Caenorhabditis elegans: one gene and its partners. The protein of the gene in region 2 interacts with the protein of the main gene of each other region in a pairwise test. Each region holds a gene or a part of one and is shown on either strand. Other genes may lie near its edges.

Region 1 (8,564 bases), 1.8 Mb from region 2:
GAGTATATTTATAATTTCTTACAGATGTACCATTTTTGAGTTTAGAGGTCAAACAACAGATTGCGATTTCGCACAGATTTGTGTTTAGGTATGAGTTTTTTGTTAAATATTCTGAAAGGAATTATGAGATTGAACATAAAATCTTATTTTCCTATCGTGCATTCTAGTCATGTTCCAAGTCGCACAACTTCTCACAACCGTTTATTCTTTATGCACGATCTTTATGCAAAATACAAAAGAAATAAATCATAATTATCAAAATATCAGAAATGTAGCACTATGTCAGTCGATTCGACCACGATCTCTTTGTTTTTATATTGTTTTTTTTTAGAACCGGAAGTAAGCGGGGAACGCTTCAGGTTCTACATTGCCAGAGTCAACCACGGGATACAGCTCAACGATCTGAAAAAGATACACATCATCTAACCTTTGGTTGGCTATCCAATTTGGAAACCGTCAATTACAATTTTAGCATTAAAATAAAAACGAAAAAGAACACTAACCGGGGAACGTTTTTCGGCGGGCAAAAGATGTGGTTGGTTGAGAACGGCCTCTTCGTTTTGACTTTGACGGTGTATGAGGCTACGTCCAGAACGGAATAGTGCACCACGGAGGGCCATAGCGTTTTGGGAGAGCACGCAGATTGCGATGAACACTGAAATTTTGGAGCAATGGTAGACTACTGTTGTATATGTGAGTTTAAATAGATATCATCCCTGAGCTAGGGTATTCATGGAACCCCATTGGCATTTGATTCACAAAGTAGTGTTTCATAAGGTTTAACTAAAATGGAAATATCTCATATGTTTGAGCCAATTAAAGTTAGACTATCACTTGTGAGATTATTGTGTTCAACTGTATCAATCAACTTATTAGTAAGAATATACATAAAATGTAAGACCGAAAAACGCAATGAAGTCCGGATAAAGACTTCTATAAGTGAAAAAGTGAGATTTTGAGCGATGGGAAATTGAGCGCGCTACATCGTTGCCGAAGTAAATCTAAACTTTGACTGGGTAATTTTTAACCTAAAATTGTTTTGAATTGTGCAACAAAAAAAAGATAACCTAAACGAAAGATCTGGAGATTGGCTCGGCACTTTTAAAAATAGATGTTATGTATGACGATACATTTTTCAGGGTCTTGGTTTAATTAGGAATCTGTCGATATAATTTACTAGAATAGGAAACGTACGGAAATTGACAAATTGTACTTGTTTGCAAAAAATGTTACAAGTTCCAAATATTCCAAAAAAAAACTATTTCTGAACAAGATTTTAATTGAAGGACTTACCAAGAAGAAATTTTCGGCTCATCTTGCTGACAGCTCAAATGTCGAATGACCAAGCTCGGCTCCAAAAGGTGGGCCGAGCCATGCAAGCTCCGCCTATTTACCAATTTTCTCAGTTCCAGTGTAATAATAATCAAATTTCAGCATTGCTCGTCATTCACTACGGTAGTATTGACGACCTGTGAATCGAATTAGCGCGGAAACGTGCGCGCTGCTGTGGAAACCCTTGTCTTTATTGAATTGTGTCGTTTATCACAAGACTCTCAGCTTTATACTGATATGAGAAAGTGCTAGAAGACGAAATAGGTATGGGGGTACTGGTTTGGCAACATATCGTCTATATACTGAACAATTAAAACATTGATTCGATGAAATTAGGAACGTTTAGAAGGAAAACATACCCGCGCAAAAATGATCAAAAAAGAAACGAAAGGAGTAATGGGAGAACATGAATTTCGCACCAACGGATTAAAAATCGAATCGAAACGTTCCGAAAGTTTCTTGACACGTGAGCATAGTGATTATAAAAACTAACATGAGGTAGTGGAAAGGGGAAATAAAAACATTTATAGTATCTACTGTAGGGTTGCAATGACTATTGTCTAGAAATCAGCTTAAAGTGACTAGAAGCTGGTTGTAAGTTGCATCATAAATATGTAAATTTTCAGAAATATGAAAAGTCGGGATAACTTTTAGAAATTTCCATGGTGAACGGATGTGGCTGCATCAATTCGAATGTCTCAATTGTGCACAGTGTTTCTCGTTTGAATGCCGCCACTTTCTGAAATAAAACTCGGTTTTTTAGTGAAAGGTCCTGCAATTCAATTTTTCCTTCTCATTATTAAATTCTTAAAAATTAAATTTTGCCTCAAAATCAGTCAAGTGAGCGTCGAATTGTGTAGGACGAGTCACAATGAATTTTTGTAAAGTTAAGATTTTTGTTTTTCTCTTTTAGCTTCATTTCGTTTTGTTTTTATTACGAATTTTGAAGAACAATGGGGCAGAATATTCTCACCTGTACATTACAGATTCTGAGGAGGATTTCCGCAAATCTGGTGGACGCTTCAATTGAGTCTTTCGTTTGTTGATGAAGCCATTTTTGAAGGGAATCCAGAAGTCGCTTGCGTTTGGCAGCAATGAGTTGGGAGCCGTGTTTTGTCAGGGAAAGACAATCTGAAAATTGAGAAATTTGTTATACGGTTCTGTTTAAAAAATCATTTTGGAAACAAATACACATAGTTTACGTAACACTGAATCACGTCACTTATGAACCTTAATTTATATTCCGTAACTTTTTTTTTTTTTCATTTTCGTTTAAAAAAATGATGTGCTGTGTTTCTATTTTCGTACTTATCAATACATTTGTATTAGATATATGTGGGATAATTTTTAACTTAATCAAACTTCCGTGAAATCTAGTTAAGTAACCTTTCGCAATAAGATTTGTCATGCCACCTGGGCAAATTTCTCCTAAAATTCATAAACATGTGCATAACTTTATTTGCCAACCCAAAGCATGAGCAATTTGAAAACGCAGAGAATACATGTGGCAAAACTCTGCGTCTACTAAATAGACATAGGGGCAGAGAAGCGAGAGTGAAAGCGAGAATGTCCTCTATATAACCGCTGTCGCTCTCCTGCTTCCTCGTGCCGTCGATAGCTCAGTTGGTAGAGCGGAGGACTGTAGAGTCAGCAGGTATCCTTAGGTCACTGGTTCGAATCCGGTTCGACGGATTTCTTTTTATTATTTTGTGCAAGACGTTAATTGACACAGATCTTTGTCCTATCAAGTAAAGTTTCAATTTTTCAATTATGGAATTGACCTTATAAGCATTTAACTGCTTTCAATATAAACTGTTTTTCAAAAACATGTGTAGGAAAGCTACATACTTAATTTTCAGAAATGTATTCTGAATATGCTAACTTACTGAAGAAAAACATTTTTGAAAAAAAGACATGGGAGTTTTTTCTGCTTTCAAACATTAAAATAATGAAACGTTTTTCTACTTTTACTCCAGCATATAACACTTCCAACTAGTTTTCAGCACACTAAAATACAATTAGGGAAATCAAGTATATTTAAGATTTAACAGTTCAGTTCAATGTGAAAACTGGAAGGCGAAGTTTTGAACTATTTTTTGTTGTATTTGTTTTGTTGTATTTGTTTCTCTTAAAAGGGCCAATTTGTGTGTTTGAAAGCACTACATAGTTTTGAGAAATTTCAAAACTGCACTAACCAGGATCGAAGAAAATAATTGCTTGCAGCAAAACATATTCAACTTTTGTTAGTCGCATTCTTCTTATTGGAACGAGAACGTCATTTATTACGGCAACCACGGTCGGCGTCAATCCAAACGTTTTGTTCGAAACACCATCCGTGGAAACTGATTGAGCAACGTTTCGAAATCTGATAAGATAAATTTTGAAACATGTAAACACAACTGATCAATTCATACCCACAGAGTCCATCTGGAAACACTATCCGATCGTTGTATTTTTCTGGAGTGTGAAATGCTTCTGCTAAGACTAAATTAGAAAACGCCGTGTGGATGAAGAGTCGTTTTTGATCTTCCGGTATTAAATGACTGAATACCTGAAAATAAAGTTTCAGTTAGAAACGTCTATGCGTGTTTTTTTTTCAAAACATACCTCAAACGATTTTGCCCATTCGACAAGAACAGTTAAAATTTTTGCTCGCCAATAAGAAAAGTTTGTTGGGTATTTTGGATCCATTCGCTCATCATACTGAAATTGATTATCTTTATTCATTTTTTCGAATGTTATGCAGTCTCAATTAATTTTCCTTTGTTTCATAAAAATAAAGGTTTCGATGAATAAATACATTTTCTTTCAATTGTTATGCGTATTTTATTAAAAATTACATACTGTATGGTTTTCATCATTGAATGCAATTTGTGTCATGTCCAACGCTTCCCGCAGAGAAGTGTGTATCATCATTGCGGAGGAGAGCAGTAGCTTTTGGTATCTGAAAATTAATTTTCAACATTTTCAATGAATACTAACATTTAGAATGTACATTGTGCAATTTAGAATTTAAATTTAACACGAAATGTTATAGATTTTAGTGAGAGGTCCTGCAAATTTGTGAGCCAAGATGTGGGTGAAACATACTATGTGTTAACAGACACAATTTTTTTAGAGCGGTTATTCTGAGACCAACCTTCCGCCTAGTTGTATTTGATGAGACCGTCGAAACATTATTGACATAAACACTTTTAGGAATATCAAAATTTTGGGAACAAAAAATACCATTTTTCAAAAATTTGAAAATATTCTTGTCCCATTTTTTTTCTCATTATCATTAAACGTTTTTGACTTAAACTCTTTGTACTAAAAAATAGCTTGTGTTTTCAAAACTAACACACATTTTAATATTTTAACACGGATACTTCTTGGACAATTAGTTGTTTTTTTCCAAAATCTTTCAATAATGCTCAGAGACCTTGGCAATGAAAGTTTTGCTTTTCGCACGTAGCCATATTTGCACTTTCTTTAGTGTGTGTGTGTCGAACGTGAAAATTGTTAGTCTCTATTTTGCGTGAACTTTGCTTTTTATCCTATATGGAAAACATGTTCTATTTACTAGATATCAATTTTTAGAAAGCTTAAAACTTACAAAGTTTCTTTATACAACAACAAATTGATAAGAGCATCCTCAGTTTCCCAGCTTTCTTCGGATCCTTCTAATCCGTTCAACTTTTTTCGTTTCCGTCGTCGTTCCATGCTCAATTCTCCGCGATCCATTCCGGCAATTATGCATTTTTTGTAACGACAATGTCGGCAAGAGCATCGCATTGATTTGTCAATTATACAGTCTCCATTATTTTTACAGGAATACGTTCGATTCTGAAATTATTACTCAATCATAATTTTGAAAAGGTTTGTGAAATTTGAAAAAAATTGTGAAACTTGGAAATAATATTTGTAGCAGTTTCTATTTTTTATTTGAAAACCAACTTGCAGATGAAAAATATAACATTTGAAATTTGTTTATGAATTTGTTTACCGTCAATTTTCTCTTACCTCTAAAACGACTCTACGAAAAAACGTTTTGCACCCGTTGCAAGCGGCCACCGAGTAGTGAATTCCAGATGCTACGTCACCACAAACACTGCACAGTTCACCTGAAACATTTTGCAGTTTTTCATTGGAAATCATTTTCAGAAACACACCTGGTATGAATTTCTTGGCCATTTCCTTTGCTTTTTGACGTGAGTAATTGGTTTCTGCTAGCGGGCCTTCATAGGCTAGCATTACTGAAATGAAATAATGAATTGGAGTTTTTACATAGAAACGGGCAAAAGAAGAAAAAAATGAGTGCATAAAATATCAAATGTTAATCTCAATCGAGAGAAAACTAAAACTCATAAAGTTTTGCAATGGGCGTAGTTTTCATGAAATAAGATTAAAATGCTCCCAAGAAGAAGATGAATAGATTAAATATACTTTAGAAATGCATTTCATTCATCGTAGTAAGTAATGAGAATTGGGATCTAATTTGAATGAAGATGATCCGATTAATAACAAAATATACACAAGGTTATTCTCTCAAAGTTCAGCTTCTCACACGGAGGCTTTTATAACACTTCACTATTTTTCTAGAACCTACAATCACAAAATAATGCACCTGCCTAAATCACAAGAGGCCAACCTCCTGGAATCATTTGAATGTTTCAAAACAAAAAGACCATTCTAGAAATAGTGTATCAGGAGACACGCAGACTGCGCATGACCATATAAATAGTTGTTGATCATGATAGCGACAAAGAGAAAGAAAGATAAAAAGAAATTTCGAACTTTTAATTTATTTTCAATTTAACAAAATTGGAGACAAATGTAGAGAAAATAACTAGTGTCGATTTTATCGGTTGGTAGACAGTTATAAGTTTACAATTATTCAAACGTTGTATGTCATAAGTATAGAGTTAAACATGTTTATTAGTCTGAAAACATTCAAACTGATCAAAAACGTTTAGATCTTGGAAAAAAGAACCAAGAGATGATTTAATGAAGCAGTGAAAAATAATAAATCGTTTATAGTTCGCAACTCATGGTCATTAATAATATGTCCGATCTGTGGAAATAAAAGTTCAAACAACAGTATTCCAACACGAGAGCGTATGATGGGTTTATTGATGGTAATGCAAAGGTATTATATATACAGTGTCAGTGTAGAACGCAAACCATCATAAACAATCTAAAGAAATAACTTTCAAATGCCGAAATCTTCATAATAATAGAAAAACCATACATAAAAAATTTTCCGGAAATTTTATGAAGCTCCTATATATTTATGTTTCAAAGTGTTATGCAACTATCGTCTGAAAACAAAAATAACCGCATTTATTTTTTGAAATATCTTTATTTTTAAAATTAGCATAATACGTTTTCTCACAATTCTCAGATCTCTTTATACATGTCTAGTCTTATTCTGTGGTATGACCTTTGAGTATACTATAAAGTGAAAAATAGTTAAATAGAAAGAGCCTTGCAAAATAATATCCTGTGATTTCTTGGAAACCCTCAAACATCAATGAGCACATTAGCACAATTCCACGTAAGAACCAATTTCTAGAATAAGCGAGCAGATTTTATCGGATTTTGGTTAAGTTTCTTTGAATAATTTATTGATAATGTGAGAACAAAATAGTGGAAATTCTCTTCTTTGTTTTTCCAATTGTTTTTAAACACTGCAATGTATTGTAATATTTGATTAGAAAATCGAAGTAATTTACATTATTTGTCAGCTTTAAAATATAGGGAGATTTTATAGAAACATCACTAAATCTAAGCTTCTTTAGATAATCAAATAAATGCATAGTTATGAGAAATACATGTTTACAAAATCTAGATGAATCATATCATTAATATTTAGTATTTATGATTATAATAACATATTAGTGATTACGATGAGAAACTAACAGCTTATAAAATTAATTTTATTTTCTGAATCATATTTCAATACTAGAAAAATATACAATCGAGCGTATCATCGTTTGGGTATATTATTAAACCAGCCGTGGACCGCACCTCCGGCGCGGCCCCCGACTTCTGGGGCTCAAAACTAATTTTTCTGAAACTACCGTAACCCTACAGTATTCCTACCGTACCACTATTGTACCACTACAGTACTATATCCCTACACTAACCCCAACTCACTATCCCCACAGAAGCCAAAACTTCACAGACTACAAAGACTACATAGACTACAAACTATGGACAAACGGAATAAGCGCTTTATATATAGTAAATGATTGTTCAATAACAGAGATATAACGGACAATTTTTTTCATTGAGAAATCATAGACTCAATAACAAACACAAATTCGTTTCTGTTTCTCTAAAGGAAAAACACTTGGGGAAAAATATCGAACAATTGTAAATTACCTATTTTGAACACAACCTACAAAACACAACTTTTCTGCTCTGGTCTTTAAAAGAGATCAGGAACACGAATCGAAAATCAAAAGAACCCGGTCGGTTTTGTGAAACTGTGAAGATGTCTTGTCGTATAAGGTCAGGTCAATGATGTTTGTGAGTACTTTGAAGACGGTCACCAGTCTAATTATGCAACTCTATGTGCCGTTAAGCTTTTCTCTTAATAAAAACTTTTTTGGGCTTCTATGGCAACACATAGATTATGCACTCATACATATGTAAAAGGTTACTTTCACAATAATCCCGTATCCTCCCTTTTTTCATCTTTGATATAGACTATTGAAACAAACTACATATTTTAAAAACTAGGCTGAAGACGATAAAAAAGGAAAAGAAACAAAACATGGGAAACGCGGAAAAAAAAGATAGACGAAGTAGAAAATGGTGAACATGGTGAGAGAGGGAAAGAGGGGAAATAGAGAGAGAGAGAGAGATAGTCACCACACCAATATTACATTCGGACCGCACAGAGGCAACAAACGAGGAAGACGGGGGGAGAGGGATGGAGAAAAAGGTGCGAGTGACAGTTGAGAACAACTTGCTTCAAAGAAAATTGGTTGGAGACGCAGATGAGAAAGCAGTGGAAAGAAAGTGTGCGTCGAGACCAGATAGAACGGACGATCAATGCGTAAATAGTGTAGATGACGAAAGAGTTAGAGAAAGGGCGAGTACTTGTCAAAAGGGGAAATAAAGTTTTTGTGAAGAGTCGGAGGAAGGCCTCTTCATTGCTCATAGTTGGGATTGCTTCAGAGTAGTTCGTGTTGCAATTCTAAAAAGGTGAAAAAGTACATGTATCGTTTGTAGCCTACAAATCA
Region 2 (9,887 bases):
AAGTAAAAATTGAATAATCACAACGTTTAGATTGTAAATAAAACATATGTTCTAGAGACATTTTATTATTTTAGCAGAAAATGGGTAATTTTAACTATTTCCTTCACTTTTCTCACTTCGTTACTTCAGCTTTATAAGTGAAATCCCAAAAAATTAAAAGAAGTAAATTCAAACCAAAAACCAATTTTTAAAAATTTTTTAAGTCTTCATTTTCAAATCTCACCAACTTTCACTGCCTTTCACCAATTTTAACGTTTCTCTATTTTCCTTTATAACATACTCAACTAAATGTTATTTTTTGAACTCTGTATGTAATGTTGCCTTGTATTAACTACCATTTTCTTTAATTTCTCACTAACTGTCTTCTAATGTCATAATTTACCTATTTATTTTCAGAATGAAGAAGGGTTTGACAAAAGTTGCATCGAAGAAAACCGAGAAACCGTTTCTGCTTGAAGAGTTGCCTTCATTGCCACTCGGTGATATTGTGAAACAATTGCCAATGTTCGAGCTGTAAGTGTTTATTATCGAACAAATACGATCGCACAATGTTCTCATAATTTATTTTTGATCTACCTTGTTGACTAGGCTCATTCCCTTCCTTTGACAAGACAGCCACAACAAAATAACAACGGCAACAAGATTGGGGGCGGGGTCAAGTTCAGCAGGTAGATCAAATATACATTATGAGAAGTTTGTGCGATCGTATTTTTACAATAATAATATAACATTTTAAGTAGTTGTTTGTTTGATTTCCTAGAAGTTTATCTTGAACTCTGAACAACTAGTACATTAATTTGATTGAAAACTCTCAATATAGAGAATACAACCAAGTTTTTAAATTAAATCGCATATCGCACTTCACCATAAATCTGAAAGCGACTTGGGAGCAAGCTACCCAGGTCGCTCTCTCAATATGTCCTGCCTTCGCAAGCTTAAATTCAATTCAAATACGGTTCATTTTTAGCGTGAAACTGGCGTTACTATCTCAAAAAGCAAAGAGATGGGTATTGGAGCACTCGCGTCGACATCTTGTTCAATTGACTGTCAATCTCGGAGAAACGTTCATCATCAAAATCGGATATGACGGAGAAGCAACCAACGAGATTGTGAACATAAAACTGGATGATATGCCTCCAAAGAGGGTGTATAGAACTAGGAGCTCAACGAGACTGCCAATGAATTTATTGAAAATTGACCCCATTTTCCCATCATGCTGCGCCAAAAACACCTATGGAACTCGAGTCGAAACAGTGAAGTATTTGATTAAATACTTTTCAAAGACGTTCAAGATGATCTCGATGGAACTCACCTTTGATAAGCAGCCCGACGCTGTGATTCTTGATATCATCAACCTTGTGAATCATTTGAAAATCAAAATGGATACTCTGGCAGTTGCTGGAAAGAACAACAGCGACGAAGTGTTCAAGTGCATCATTGATGAAGTTAGCCGAGTTTCGTCTCTTCAAATCTGGGGATTCCCAAATGGCGAAAGACTGTTGGGCTTGAATGATGATTAAAATTTTCTGAACTTGAATAACTTTTGATAATTTTTTGTTTCTAATTATAAGGTCAAATGTTAAGCCTCAGTAATAAATCCATGTATTTCTTTCCTCTTCCATCTGTTTTTTTTTCGTATTCCTCACTTTCGCTTTTCCCATTTTTAGATATCCTATAAATTATCAAAAAAAGTTCAACTAATAAAATATTGTCCATAATTACGTCTACTTGTATTTAACTGTTTAAGTTGCTTACCAGTGTCATGACAAGAAATACAGCGGCCGACATCTCGTGAGCCCGTTTTTGACAACTTTTACTGATTCGGCCGTATCTCGAAAACTAATTTTTTTCTGGAAATGTTTTTGAAGAAAAATAATCTTCATACTACTTGCCATCATTTGTGCCTACTCACTTTGTTTTGAAAAATTCAGCAAAAAAGTTATGGAAGTGCAAACTAGTCCCTCACTTGGCACTGCTCATGCTGTACAACCAAAAATCAGGTTACTTACTTCGAATATATTTTTTTCGAGCATTTTTTAATAATTACAAATGTAAAATCACAATTAAACTTTATTTAAACACGATATCAAAATTCAGGGAAAAAAAATTCTTCACTTGCGAGAAATGCTCTAGTTGTAGTCGTACACTATTCAAGTTTAATCTATCATAACTTTTTTGCTGAATTTTTCAGAACAACGTGAGAAGACACACATGATGGCAAGTAATATGAAGATTATTTTACTTTGCCAACACTTACAGAAAAAAAAGTTTTCGAGATACCGGCAAATCAGTAAAAGTTGTCAAAAACGGGCTCACGAGATGTCGGCCGCTGTATTTCTTGTCATGACACTGGTAAACAACTTAAACAACTGAATACAAGTAGACGTAATTATGGACAAAATTTCTTGAGTTGAATTTTTTTCGATAGCATGTCCAGTTTTTAAGTTGTGCTCGTTTGAAAAACTTGTAAATTTATCAAAAATCGAAAATTGGATAGAATTATGGCCGGCACTGTATGTAAGACCTTCAAAACGTGCTCCTCTAATCCGTTGCTGTTCGGTACTCTTGTTACGTGTTAAGTTGGGACAAGTTTCCTAGCTACTCATAGTTTGTCTGCACTCTCCTAGTGACGAGAAAAAGATGAAAAGATAATCTCTCAAGGAAAAGCAGATTAATCAACAAAGCGCAGCAGAACTTTCAAATTCATTTTAGTTAATAAGTATACGATTTCCGGTGACCGAATATATGTAGTTGGTTTGTGTTGTATTTTGAATTCTGGTATATAAAATATAAGTAATAATATATAAGTAACCGTTTGAAATTGGAAAATTTTTTCGACGCAAACTTTGCCAGTGATATGTTCAATGAAACATGCTAGTTTGAAAAAATTAAGCATACAAGCACATTCCTATAAATAATTTGGTGGCCACCTTCTGTTATGTTTTATCAAAAATTAGACCTCCCGGCTATTTTGTTACAATCGAGCAGACACCCCCCCCCCCCCCCCCCCACGACACCTGTTCTCTTTGAGCACTCCATAACGTGGGAAGGCACATCTTGCGTCATATGTGACCCGACAGTCTCCTACAAAAATATGGGAAACGGGGCAGATTGAGTGATGATGTAACTTGTTCTGCGCAGTCTTCTCTGCCTGTTCTCGACCTTTTTGCGAGGATTGGCTCCAACATACGTTTTGCACCACTTCTCGATGTTTTTTAGTTTGTTTTTCAAAATTAACATATAGTTTTTCATCAATTTTAGACAAAACTAATTCATTCAATTAATTTTAACATGAAATGAAATATTCAGAACTTAACTTTAGTTGTTTTAGAATAATAGGGTATGCATTGTTAAAATTACAAAAAGTGAGATTTATATCCAAGTCTTTAAATTTTATTGTATTGCAGTTTTGGGATTATTTTAGATTTTTATTAGGAAATGCATGCAATTTTTGCAATTATTGATAGATGTACAGTTTTTAGTGTGTGTGTGTTTTTTGTTAATTTCGAGGATTAATAGAAGAAAAATCCTCTTTAAAATTTGAGTTCACACTTTTTTCCACTAGCAATATTAATTTTGAATATTTTGATCACGAGCAATAATTTTTTCAGGATTTTTTCAAAAGATGGATAGCGGTGGCCAAGGTTCAGGTTCACAAGACCAATTCGAAAAAACAGAACAACTCGTTGATGCACAATATCCAGTTCCGACAACATTGAAGCCAGATTTTTTCACAGGTGAACATTTTAATTTTGTGTTAATAACACGATCATACAATAAAAAAGGTTTGTAAACTGACAGGAGACGGAATTTTCATATCGAGAAATTAAAAAAATCCTTTTTTTCAATGTAAAAAATCTATATTTGAAATTGATTTTCATATGACTAGTTTTTTTTTCAAGCGAAGCATTATATTATTCTTTATATACATTTAAAGGTGGAGTACTGCCAGTGGAGAAATTGTTAAAAACCACTCGTTTGGTCACAAAATGACCAAATATCATGATAAAACTTTTCAAAAATTTTTGAAAATTTATTATTTACTGTCAAAAAGTGGCAATTACTCAGTTTTTGCCACTCATAATTTTCGAAGTCGACCAAAAAAACAATTTTTTCGACATTTTTTATGTTCTAATTTTGTTTAAATTATTTTTATTAAAATATTGTAGGGGTCGCAACATGCGGCATTTCTTTAAATTTCCTCAAAAGCTAGTAGATTCTCCAATTGTCAGCACAAATGATTCTGAACCAATTAATGAACAAGTTTATTCAACACAAAGTAATCATGGCGAGCTTCAAGATAAAACCGAGATTGATGAAAGAAATCGAGTGGATCAGTGCTTCGATAATGATCAACCATTTAACGGAAACAATTCAAAACTGTTAGAATCCGAGTCTCATAAACTGGGAGAGTCGTCAACTGAACCTTCAGGAACAACAATATCATCAGGAAATTATGAAATTGCTGAAGACTGCTCGGATGAGACAGAGCAATTCATCGATCCAGACAATCAAGTTCCAGCAGCAAATTTTATTACCAGTAAGCTTAAGATTTCTTTGAAAAATGTGCTCATTCAAACATTTTCTTCATGCAACTTTTTTAGTAACTTTTTCGGATGGGAACTGAAAATTATAAAACTGTGTTGCGTGTTTGCAGAGATTTTAAATATTGGGCTAATTTTTTTCTAAACAAAATGTTTTTTGAATTAATCGTTTTCATTTTCAGACGACTGCACAACAATTGAACAAACTGCAAAAATTCAAGAAGAAAGCGGAACAGATTCTTTGATTGTCAGCACAAATGATTCTGGTTCAACTAATGAACAGATTTTGCCAACACAGAGCAATGATGCTGACTTTCGTGAAAGAATTGAAATTGACGGAAGAGATCAAGTGGATCAGCATGGCAACAGTTATCCACCAATTAGTGGGAACAACTCAAAATTGAGAAAATCAGAGTCTCATGAACAGGGAGAATTTTTAGTTGGACCTTCAAGGAAAAGAAAGCCAGAAACACTAATTGAAACAAAGAGTAAGAAAAGAAAATCGGCGAGAGGAAGACCATCTAATAAGTTGAATCAATTTCAAATACATCAAGTTAGTAGTGACTGGAACGCGAACGCATTTCTTCAGTTTGCTCGACGAGACGCAGCTGGTACGATTCTAGAGTCGGAAGAAGCGAAAAAAACCATCGATGCACAGTTGGAACACTTTTCGGTATGTTGTTTCAATTAATATTAAAAAAAAAAAGAAATAGCACTTTAATAGTGTTGTAAACCTACTGACCCTACTGATAATGAACATGAAATTTCAATATAAACGAAATGTGGCTCAATTTTAAAATATAACGTTTAAATGTCAAACGCTATGTCAAACTTAAGTTATAATCAAAAAATTATTTTTTTTCCAGAAATTTCCTAATTCTTTTGGAATCGCATTAAAGATAGGAACAATTTAATAACTTTTTAATAATTTTCTAAATGTTAGAAAAATAAATAAATGAATTAAACTATTATACACACTACCAAGTATGCTCGTTGATATCATAAATTTTTACATATGCATTGTAAACATAAAACAAAGACCAATTTGAAAAGTTCAAATTTTAACACAGAACTTAATAGGGAGTTTTTTAAAACTATGTATAAAATGCGATCGGTGCGATCGGAAAAAAGTTGAACGTACTATTTTATAGCAGACATTTTGAGCTCGCATAATTGATAATTGTTTTCAGCGAAAAACTCAAACTTTCAGGTCAAAATTTTTTGTCTAAGACAGGACGTTGTAGGACGTTGTCAAAGCAAATTACAAATTATGTATATGCTTTTAACAAAACTTTAAAATATTTGCAGGAGCCCTCGTGCTCGACGGATGTTTCGGTTCATGTTGTCAGAGACAACGAGAATCTGGGCTTGGTGACAAACAAACTCCGATCGCTAGCCATTCCACCAATATCCAACCTTCCCAGTGATCTGCCTTCATTATATAAACTCCCGAAACTGTTTCTAACCGGAGCGACTTTTATGGACGTCTCAAAATCAAAAGGAAAACAAGTTATTACGAAAGCAAGCAAATGGATCAAATCTGGCAAAAATCTCGTATACGAAACATCTGGCTGTTCTGAACTATTTGATGAAACAACAAAATTCAACACTGATGGAAAGATTGAAGAAAACACAAGTGAAGAATACACAAATAAAGATCAATACAGGTTACCTGTTCCTATCTATAATATTGAGAACAACAGCGATGAAACATCAAATTTTATTAAAAATATCGTCAATACCACAACCATGTGCATCTTTCGAGGAATCGAAGAAGCATTTGGGATGGATCGCCAAACGTTTGACATCTCCACATTGGCACCTCTCTACCCCGATTACCCATTGAAAATTCGTCGACAGATGCCCCAGTCATCAGCAACCAATTTCTACATGAATGACAAAAATACCGTGCAGAGATTGGGAAATGCCTGGGCTGTCTTCGATTTTGAAGGAGTTACTCAGTTGAGAGATTTTGCGAAGAATTATGAAAGCCTTAAGGATATAGGAAGGTCAGGTACGTTTTTGAACTGTTTTTTTTTAATTCTTATTTAGCGAAAGATATTTGAGTTTTATAAGAAAATAAGTATCTTATAAAACCCAATTTCAAAATTTTTAAAGATTGGTCTAAAATTCCAGTCAGCTTTGAAAACCAAATTAGCGAAAACTTTTCAAAAGATTTCCAGGAGTTTTGAGCAAAATAAAGCAACGTCGCAACCATTTGAACCTCAATGGCATCCCAATGAAAATATTTGAAAAATATTTAGATTTTGAAATTCGTATAAAAAAAAGCACTTACTTCATTGTCGACCTTTAAATTATGGGTAATCAGAACTGAGTTCTCGCCAATTTTTGACTCTTAATCAACCCACTTGGGAACTTTTTTGATAAGTTTTAATAAAAACTAGAGAACTTCCAAAGTTTATAAAAATCATTAAATTTGTTCACCTTTCATTTTTCAGCTTACCAAGCTATCCTACGCAATCCTTCCGCATTTTCGGAAGTAATGGATGACATGAAGAAGCAAATCAAGGAAAATACGATCCCACTCAGTCCTGAACACAAACTTACAGTCCATGAAAATGCGACAGTGTTGGCATTTGGAACTAATATTGATCTGGATGATCAGCGATTCAAGGAACAGCTCGATGTATGTCGTTTAAAGTTAACGGTAGATAAATAATCATTATTTTCAGGAGATCAAAAAATTGCCTGATTGTTTGAGACCCGACGGAGCCGGGAATCTTCTCAACTTTGCTCAAGAGTCACTTGCAGGTCTGAACAAACCTCAAGTTTATTGCAAGCCTCCCGGAGCAAGAACCACAGCTCACCTGGAGAACCAAGCTCTCGGGTCCATTAACATTAATCATGGACCAGGTGATTGTGTTTGGTACGGAGTGCCCATGGAGTACAGTGGCAGAATGGAGGTGCTGATCAAAAAGCATCGACTTAATGTTTATAAAAGCGGGTACTGGCCAAGTGAGCAGGAATTAAGAAATGAAAAGATACCATCGCAAAAGTTTCTACAAAAGCCTGGAGACATGGTGTACGTCGGTATTGGAACATTTCATTGGGTGCAATCTAATGATTTTGCAATAAACGTCTCCTGGAATGTTGCACAACCAACTTTTAATCAACTGGCTGCTGCAATGGTCATTCACGATCACAACATCTCGAGTAAAGCAACTACTCTCATGCCTATTGAGCCAATTGTCTGGAAAATGGCTGAAGATGGAGTGGAGGCAGAGGATGAGAATATTTTCCTGGCTCGAAAGGCTATAATGCTAAAGTACGGTTTCGTCACAGAATCATAATACTAGATAACTAATTAATTCAAAATTACAGAAGTTTGGCAAAAAGCCAGTTTGAGTTCGATTTCGCCATTCAGGAAAATATGCTCATCAGATCAGCAAAAAACGAGAAATCGATCATCCCTGTTGAGCGATGCTCTATCCAAAAATGCCGGGAAGTTCTGTTCAATATGATCACACTTGACAATAAGCAAAATCCATTCTGCCTTAATTGCATAGTTAAAGGGTGAGTTGCATTTTGTGAAGAGTGATAACTGATAAATGCGGAAGAAGGGATGTATTGTTTACTCATCATAGAAAATTTTTTTGTATTTTTTTTTTCGAATTATCATTTTTTTATTGCATTTATCGGTCGTTTATCCAACGTTTTTTCGTTGAATAACGTATATTCAAACCCGATGGAAGGCCATTTTTTGGTGATTTTTGGTTAACTATCTTGAGATTATCTACCAAAACATGCAATTAAAAAACAAAAGCTCAAAAAAGTCAAATTTGTGACCGTTGCGTCACGGAAAAATCTCCCAAATTAGAGAATTTTTCGTACGAAATTTGTTTATTTGAGTGCATTTTAAGTATATATGTTCAAACATGTAGACCACTTTTATTTTGGTTAAAAAAGTAAAAAACACACGAATAGCAAGATAAAAATAGTTTAATTGGTGTCAAAGTGTCGCATTTTGGTTTCTTCGGGAAATGCGAGAGAAGAGACGGAGATTTTTCAGCTGATTTCGCATGGCTATACGTGTGCTGACGTTACATTTTTCTGGAAGAGAAATTCCCGCATTTTTGTAGATAAAACCGCAATGAAACAGCCTGACACCACGTAATAATCTAATATTTAATTTTCCAGAAAAGTCAAAGCAACAGCATTTCAAAGGCGGGACATTGCTGACTTGGTGAAGATATTTGACGAGTTTAAATGGGTGTCCTGAAACTTTTCTTTTTTTCAACTTTCGATCCTCAATTTTCACAGCTTTCTTTTGTATTATACAATTCTTGCACATTTTGAATCACTTATCGTTTTATTGATCTTGTTTTGATTTTTTATTATGCAACATTTTTCGATATGATCAATTCTGTTTAATAAAGTCCAACTTACTAATTATAAAAAAAATTTATTCTTACATACAAAAAAGAAATCGAAAATGTTTAGTTGCATGGGTTGACAGATGGACGTGCTGTGGCCATTGGCATATTATCTGAAAATAGGAGTTTTTGATTTTGTATGCAATTATTTTGAAATTACTGAAATCCTCTGGGTCTTGTGGGTAGCGAAAATCTTCAGCGTTATCAATATTTGGAATTGGTGCGGACAGAGAGATCCCAACGAGCAAAACCATGAAGAGAGTCAAGAAAGACAGTAGGAAACGAAACATTTTCTGAAAGATGAGATTGGGTTAGGAAAAAAAGAAACACGAGGAGTTCGGTGAAGAAAAATCAGACAATGACGAAAAGATGTTTTCAATGTTATCACACAAAATGTTGAGGTTGAAGCAACTGCGGCGGCAGTTGTCAATTTTCCCGGTGACATGTAAATAAAAGAGTTGGTGAATCATACAATTTGATTTCTAGAGAAACGATTGAAAATATATTCTGTTTAGAAACCTGACTTAAAATCAAAACCTGAGTTAAAATCATGTTAAAAATAAGTATACAATTAGGAAAAGAAAAACAGGTACATATATCTCTCCAATAATAACCGTCAAACTACAGAGGTTTTGAGTGTATTTTCCCTTCTCGCCGTTTTTGTGGTTCAGGGCAACGGCCAGAGCAGTGATGCAACTGTGCTTCTGTGCTGCTCCATATACTTCAGTTGCTGATCAATCCCAAAATTTTCTCATATTGCTCTTCTATTGACTACTTCTAAAAATTGAAAAAAATTAAAAATAAATCATATTCTCTGTCAGTCTTGCACCCATTTGAGAACTTCTGTAATTTAACGTTTGAGAAAATAAAACTATTTTTTTGTTCCGAGCTTAGTGCGCTCAACGGCTTGTAACTGCAACAAGACTTTAACCAAAAGCATCGGTTTTTT
Region 3 (7,108 bases), about 11 Mb from region 2:
GTATTGATCAATTAGGACAACGTACATACGTATCAAATCAGTTGACAAAGAAAGACAAAAAAAAGAGACATTCTTTACTTGGCATTTTACATTTTCATTCTCTTAATTTTCATTTCAACTGTGAAGGGTTTGGATACCTTGGAACTAACATAATTGTTTTAAAGGATTTTATACATACAGTATATTCTCTATAAGTATTGCAATTTTTAACAATTTCAATGACTTATTTTTTTAGGAAGAACCAGCTGAATATTTTGAATTCTGATGTTTTTTAGCTGATTTACAAAATTGCACATCTACCTAATTTGATAATTTGAATCAAGCCACGGTAAAAAATATTGAAAAAAAAACATTTGATCTCGGTAAAACATTAAAAAATGGGGGAGTCCTATAAAACTTTCGCGGTCAAAACTTCCATAAGTTTAAAAAACTGATCTAAAAATAATTTTTAATTTTATACAAATTATGACGGCTATTTTGTAATATGAACATTTTCACAGTTTTTACAAGTTATGTTCCTTTTCACAAATTGAATGAGAGATTTTTTGATAGTTCAGAGCACCAGTTATTTTTTGACTTTTGCAAAAATTATCAATTGAAATTGTTGATCATTTATTTATCTATATTATGCTGTTTGAAAATGTTGTGAAATATTTGAAATAGGCCGCAATTTAAGCTATTAGAAGAGCTTAGCCAGGCTTCGGAAAATTTGTATTTCATACTATTCATCAAATCATATACTCTTTTTAAGATTGTCCTAATTTTTATTGTATTAAAAAATCTCAATTCTTGCAAATCCATCTGCTTCAAAACTTCCAAAAATTTCAAAAACTGTTTTAAATAATTTCTAATTTTATACAAATTTTGATAGCTATTTTAAATTCAATCAATTCTCAAATAAATCGAATGATATTTCAAACCTCACCAGTTGAATTATATTAAAAGTTTAATGTTGTGATGAAGAGAACTGTGAATGTGAAAATTACATTTCACATCAACACGAGTGTACGATAGAAATGTACAGTTTTTTCCCTTTTAAATGCTCATTTTCAACGCAACTCGCTCTTTGCCAACTCAATCTCGAAATGTCAACTTTTACTTTTGGCCGCACATTGTTAGCACGGTGAATAGTCAAATGAGAGTCCATTTAGTCATGCCCCCCCCCACGCTTTCCACGCGCCCCTTCATTTTTCTCCGCCATTCACCAACTTTTTTATTCATTTTTCCTTGGGACCATGCAACGACTACATACATGTCCACCACGACTTCATTGTGATTATTCATAGAGCCATTTGGCTTTTTGGGGGGAGCCGGCCAAACGGCATTCTTTCGCTTGCATAGGCAAATGTCGTATATCCAGAGTGTCAGCAGGGCAGGAGCAGCGCTAGAAGCACCGTCGTTTCAAATCGACGCCATCTAATATGCATATTTGAACAACTGCGCGGTTTTGCCCACAGATCTGGCCGCCGCAATGCCTTTTTGCCTTTTACTGGCTAAACATGAATCCGACCAGTGCGATCATCCACATTTCCTCGTTTTACAGTACAGCTGAAAACAAAAAAAGATAATGGAGCTTTTGAAGGAATGGGGACTTTGTAGGAAAAGATAATAGATAATCAAGAGAAGTACATCACGTTTCGAATTGCCTCAACTTTAGGGCTCATGTGTCAATGCTCATTTCGTTAAGCTGATGACCTCTCGATATCGCATCTGTTTCTCCATGTTTCATTCATACTACTACCTATTCTCCGTCTTATCCCTTTTTCCTTCCCAATTCTTTGTCTCTTTCTTGCCAAACAGAACAACACCTCCCGAATCAACATTTTATCCCCCCACAATCAATCACTCAATAAAATCCATCAAAAATCTTTTGATAATCAAAAATGCCTCGGTGCCTGACTGCCGAACAAGCCGGCGGGGCGTCGTCTTTTTTGTTAGCAGTTGTGTTGTCTGTCATCCTACGTAATTTTGTGAAGACTCGAATTCATGAGCCAAGTGGTGCTCAAAAGACTAGGTAATGAATGTGTAGTGTAATGGCCGGGAAGAGTGAGCCTCATACACAAGATATCATATCATCTTATCTCCAAGATGTATTTCGAAGAATCTTTTTTGAATATTTCACATTCTCCATTTTTACAGAGCTAACTGTTTTTTCAGCTTCAACTAGAAATTTTCTCAACAGTGAGAATGCAAATACTTTCAGAAAATGATGTGTAAGTGACAAACATAGGCACTCTCGGAGCTACAGAACCAATTTCTCTTCTTATCATATGCAAATTTGGCGTTTTTTAATACTCTAATGTGTTATTCAAAGCTTATCAGTCAAATTTTCTTTATGATCTCATACAGTTCGGCAACATCGAAGTTTAAATTTCAAATTAGGACGCGATAGATTTTACCCTAGTTTCGTTCCTAGATATTAGAATAACTTAGATAATAGAAGAAAAGTGATGCGAAAAACAGGGACTCGAAAATTGTTTTAAACAAAGTGTCCTATGCGAAATTCACTTCATTTCTTTTATTTTTCTCTTCCTCTCCCACATTTTTCGTCGAGAGCTATCATAACAAGAAGAGCTGAACGCGATGCAGCAGTAGCCGCAGAAAAATCAGATCGAATCATTAGGCGCATGCGACAATTGGCTGAAAAATACTGAGACACAAGTCGCACTAGAACGCTTGGCTGTCAGCTAGTTAGGTGCCGCTCGGCTTTTCCTCCCCACCCCGAGAGTGGTTGATTTTATGCCAATATTACAACTTCTAGGGTGGCTCATTTTCCTGAATCGCCGATGCGATCACCCTCGTCGGCAATGAGTGGCCCCCACGCGTTTCGCTTGATCCATGCCGCCGATTTGCTCACATGAAACACATTCTTCATTTTCTTTTCTCAATTGACGGAATATTACATTTTGTTTATCTCGATTCTCTTTTCTCAGTCAATCTTTTCTGATTCGTCATACCTTCATTCACCTTCCAGCTTATACAGTTTCGATTTATTTTTAATTTTCATCTATCAAAACCACATTCTCTGTCGGTCTTATCCAACAGTGTCTCTGTTTCAGACGTAAAAAGTCTCTATCATCATCCTCACAACACATATCATCAATGCAAGAAATATGAACACCTTGGAGAACACGTTTCAATTTCTCGCAGAAGTATTCGGTAGGTGATGCTTTATCAATATCCGTTTCTTTTTCTAATTGTCGACTCTTCGGAGTCTGGTCACAAATCAAGCGCGTTGCTGTAATAATTCATTTTGACTGATTTTCGTGAAAAGCTAATGACAACGGTATGTTATAGGCGATGATTGTCTACCTGGACGCAACAATTTTTTAAAAATGTTGGTCAGATGCTCTTTTTTTGCAGTTTTAAAATCCAAATTCACTTGTGTAAAAAAAAAAAAAAATTAGGCGTTTTTCAAAAATTGTATGGGTTTTTTGATGAAAAAGTGAAACTTTTTGCACTTTTGAGCAAAACAGTTTTGTTGGGTTTTTTCTTGTTTTTTGAGCCTGAAAATGAAATATATGTACATTAAGAAACTAATTCATGTGTATACTAAAATCGAAATGGTATGTATAAAATAATTAAATATTTTTTGGAGTAGCAAACTCAAAATTATCAACTTTAGTTTTAACAACTCCAGAAATAACTTTTGAGAAAATAAGGGTCAAAAGTTTTTTTGAATTTTTGAATGCATTTTTCTGTATAGAAAATTGTCAGAAATTCAAAAAATTATAATACTTGCAAAACATTAAAATAAATTTTGGATACTCGATATGAAATCACTTCAGACAAAAATTAATTTCCAATGTTACGCTACCAGCTTTTCAAAAAAATTGTAAAAATTTAAAGTTTGACGGTAAACATTTTCCAAAACTCATTTACACTTAAAAAGCGGTTTCATAGCGCTAAAAATTTTACAGTAAACATTTTGAAAGAATTTTCAATTTTTTTACAGTCAAAGAGTGGTTAAAATTTAGTTTTGACCTAACATTTTGAAAACATGTATGTAAGTGTAGCAATGCTCAAATGTTTTTCTTGAATTTTCACCAAAATAATTATGGAGTGTTCTATTTTGATATTCGGCCATCTTAGAGTATTATAAAAATTGTTAGAATGAGTTATTTGACAATTACATTCACTGAAACGTTGATCAGTTATTAAATACTGTAAGTTGATTTGTAGAACAATGTACACAAAATAAGTAACTCCAAATTATCAATTAAAAGTTTATCATTTCATTGAAAAATCACAGTAGTGAAAGTACTATCAAAACTTGATCTATTGATCACCGTTCCGTGTGTCCTTATTTTCGCGTTCCACTACTTACACAGATTAACTCAAGTTCAGCGTCGTTGATGTTAGCTTTCGAAAAAAAAAACTTCTGCGCGAATTTGATTGGCATCGTGAAAATGAGATAACATGTTCTGATTGCTCAAAAAAGGAACTTTTCTGACTAGATGCTGCTCCATATTTCTTGTGCACATTTTTCAGAAGCCAATGGTGGTTGCCTTGTCACAGAACGTGTCAGTCCATCTTTGTCGGGAGCCAGCAAACGAAAAAGTCGACCGGTGAAGAGGATCATCACTGAAGACGAAGTAATCCCAGAAGAAGAAGTGGTCGAAGAAGAGGAAGAAGAGGTGAGTCTTTTGAAAACAAACTGCTTTCCAATTGGCTTTTAAAGTTACCTTTTTTCTCAAATACGTTTTTATTTGCAATCAGTGAAAAAAAAAATTTAAGCTGTTTCATAAAACTTTATATATACTAAAATGATTAAAAAAGCTATGAAAATAGTTATAAAATACCACACATCTAAATTAGTCAGTAATGTTTTTCCACTCTCATCGGACCCAAAATCAGACCTTTCCAATTCAACTCGGCCATCCCAGCCCATCGCATCCATTTGCTTTCTCAAGATGAAGCAGTGCAATGAAAGTGTGGGATAATGCAATAAAGGGGTGGCTAAAAAGGAAAAGAGATGCGGGTATCGAGATAAGCAGATTCGGGAGTTGGCCCTTGTTTATGATGTAGGACAAAACTAAAAGTAGGCAGAGGAGAAAGCCGAGCCGCGTCGTTCTGTGTTTTCAACTTTTCATATTGGTCCTTTTTTTAGGCGAAATCTTGGGAAATTTAGTGATTCGTCAAGATAAAAATTTTAATTTAAACTGTTAATTTACTGTTCTGGGCATGATCCTATTTTTTATCTTTAATCATCTTATTAGGGAAAAAACAATTTTTAGTTTTTAGTGCAAAATTCCAAACGAACCAGTTTGTTGCCTGTCTCAAAAATTACATTTTCAAATATGGATAAAAATTTAAACCATCGTCTTATTTAAAAAGTATTTTTTTAATTTATTTTTTAACATAGATTTTTACTGTTATTGTTAATGTGTACATATTATTTTATTTTACTCTTCTGTATCTAGAAATTCTGCATAGTTAATTTTAAGAAAGGGCTCGAAACAGTAAGATTAACATTTTTGAATAAATGTTCTAAATTTTATTTATTAGAACTTTTAATGTCTATTTTCATGACCGTTTCATAAAGAAATAACTAAAAAAATATCGTAAAAATAACTTTAGAAATTGATTCAACTAGATATTCCTTATCATTTTTGACCGAAAAGATATTTGGAAAAAACAGTATTGAGATGACGGTCGCTAACTATTTTCAGCGACTGCCACTGTATATAAACTGCTTCACTTTTTATACATACCTTTTTAGCACAAAAGTGTATTTTCTAATTACTAAAATTTGTTAAATTTCAAGCCTTTTCTTCTCACGTTTTCCAACTTTTCCCACGCTGTAAAAATTTTTTGTTTCGTAGTATTTTAATTTTGGATTAAGGTTCAGTCAGGTCATTTTATCATTTTTTTTTAATTAAAAAACAAAATTTTTGAATGTATTTTCAGTTCTTTTTTCCTTTACTTTTGTAATTAATTTTCATAACTTCTATATTCACATTGAAATTGTATCAAACTACAGCAGCTCTGAACATTTTTGAGCATCCTCAATTTTTTTTCAAAATTAGAGACCTCTGGAAATAAAGAAAGTAGGTTGGCTGACCCAATCATGCTGCAGCATTTTTCAATAAGTATCATGACCCGTCGGTCGCTGAGTAATTGAATAAGTAATGAGCATCGTCGTTTTGGTCCTGAAAATGGAGTCGACGACGACGACGACAAAAAGATGAGATCTTCCTTTACGGAACGAAAACGCCGGCGGTCCGTGCTTCGCGTGTGTATGGGTATGAGAGAAACGACCCCACTGAATGACTCGAGTTTTCGACGAGCACTTCCAGATTTGCTTGTTTTTCACATCGTTCCATTTCTATTCCCCTTAGTTTTTCGTTTCTTTTTTTTCAATTGCCTCAGATTTATACATAGCTGGAACGAGAGGAGAAATATTTTTTGGCGTGTGCCATTCTACGCCCGTCCACCCATTTGGAACGCTTCTTCTTCTTTTTTCCCCCATTTGGTCCCCTTCTCAATGTTTTTTCTGTGACGACTGGTAGCACCCACTCGGGCAGAGATTCCACTCCATCCGTTTGCCGATGCAACATTTGTTGCATACATAAAACGGGGAAAAAGCCGGGGGAAAGCAGCGGCGAAAAAAAAACGCGGGAGGGAATTTGAAAAGTGAGAAGCTGCAAGTGTAGTAGGTCGTTTCTGTTTCTCATTGGGACCATCAAACGACTTCTCTTTTGTTTTCGCAACGACCCCCTCCTCATCTCTCCTCTCGATTTCATTTTCCCTTTTTTTGTAACACTATTTTCCCAGGTCCGGTCATTTGTCTGTTTTTCTATATCTCTTGCTCCCCTTTTCCCTCTTTCTCTCTCTGATCCTTGACTACCACAGCTGTTCATTATAAAAAGGTTCTGATAACGATCAGTGGTCAATAATGATATAAAGTGTGTATGAACAATTGCTCTAACTTGCCCAAAATGGTCCCAAATAGAGAATTTTCGTAGTGACGCGTCTGGAATTTTTCTGAAAACAGGGCTAAGCTCTCCAATTTTGCAATTTTTCGTCACAGCGGCCGGAAATTAATTTTTATTCGATTTCACCTCTGCATACTTTGGCAGTTGAGTTTTTTGTGTTGAATTAGGTA

Evidence for each region. The genes of interacting proteins can lie anywhere in the genome.
Region 1: the proteins of jmjd-3.2 (region 2) and nhr-17 interact in a two-hybrid assay, tested with the Caenorhabditis elegans proteins (one large-scale study listed by BioGRID).
Region 3: the proteins of jmjd-3.2 (region 2) and ceh-18 interact in a two-hybrid assay, tested with the Caenorhabditis elegans proteins (one large-scale study listed by BioGRID).

Annotation. Positions count from the first base shown.
Region 1 is NC_003284.9:12,662,288-12,670,851, forward strand, and holds nhr-17 (Nuclear Hormone Receptor family), read right to left. Parts: upstream 5,568-8,564; 5' UTR 5,566-5,567; coding exon 5,484-5,565; intron 5,436-5,483; coding exon 5,335-5,435; intron 5,158-5,334; coding exon 4,928-5,157; intron 4,277-4,927; coding exon 4,177-4,276; intron 4,036-4,176; coding exon 3,940-4,035; intron 3,884-3,939; coding exon 3,747-3,883; intron 3,698-3,746; coding exon 3,528-3,697; intron 3,037-3,527; exon of another isoform or gene 2,937-3,036; intron 2,464-2,936; coding exon 2,306-2,463; intron 2,072-2,305; coding exon 1,955-2,071; 3' UTR 1,550-1,954; downstream 1-1,549. Other genes in the region: nlp-76 (Neuropeptide-Like Protein), read right to left, coding at 328-402, 504-655, 1,294-1,315.
Region 2 is NC_003284.9:14,444,605-14,454,491, forward strand, and holds jmjd-3.2 (JmjC domain-containing protein), read left to right. Parts: upstream 1-3,605; 5' UTR 3,606-3,625; coding exon 3,626-3,737; intron 3,738-4,300; coding exon 4,301-4,540; intron 4,541-4,726; coding exon 4,727-5,217; intron 5,218-5,852; coding exon 5,853-6,558; intron 6,559-7,003; coding exon 7,004-7,191; intron 7,192-7,237; coding exon 7,238-7,830; intron 7,831-7,886; coding exon 7,887-8,078; intron 8,079-8,702; coding exon 8,703-8,784; 3' UTR 8,785-8,963; downstream 8,964-9,887. Other genes in the region: F23D12.4 (F-box domain-containing protein), read left to right, coding at 398-513, 968-1,520; F23D12.7 (Neuropeptide-Like Protein), read right to left, coding at 9,002-9,051, 9,099-9,228.
Region 3 is NC_003284.9:3,853,749-3,860,856, reverse strand, and holds the start of ceh-18 (Homeobox protein ceh-18), read left to right. Parts: upstream 1-3,059; 5' UTR 3,060-3,113; coding exon 3,114-3,159; intron 3,160-4,490; exon of another isoform or gene 4,491-4,491; coding exon 4,492-4,637; intron 4,638-6,425; exon of another isoform or gene 6,426-6,634; intron 6,635-7,108. UniProt on the Caenorhabditis elegans protein: Directs gonadal sheath cell differentiation and function. Also directs gonad migration and plays a role in specifying the differentiated phenotypes of epidermal cells during postembryonic development.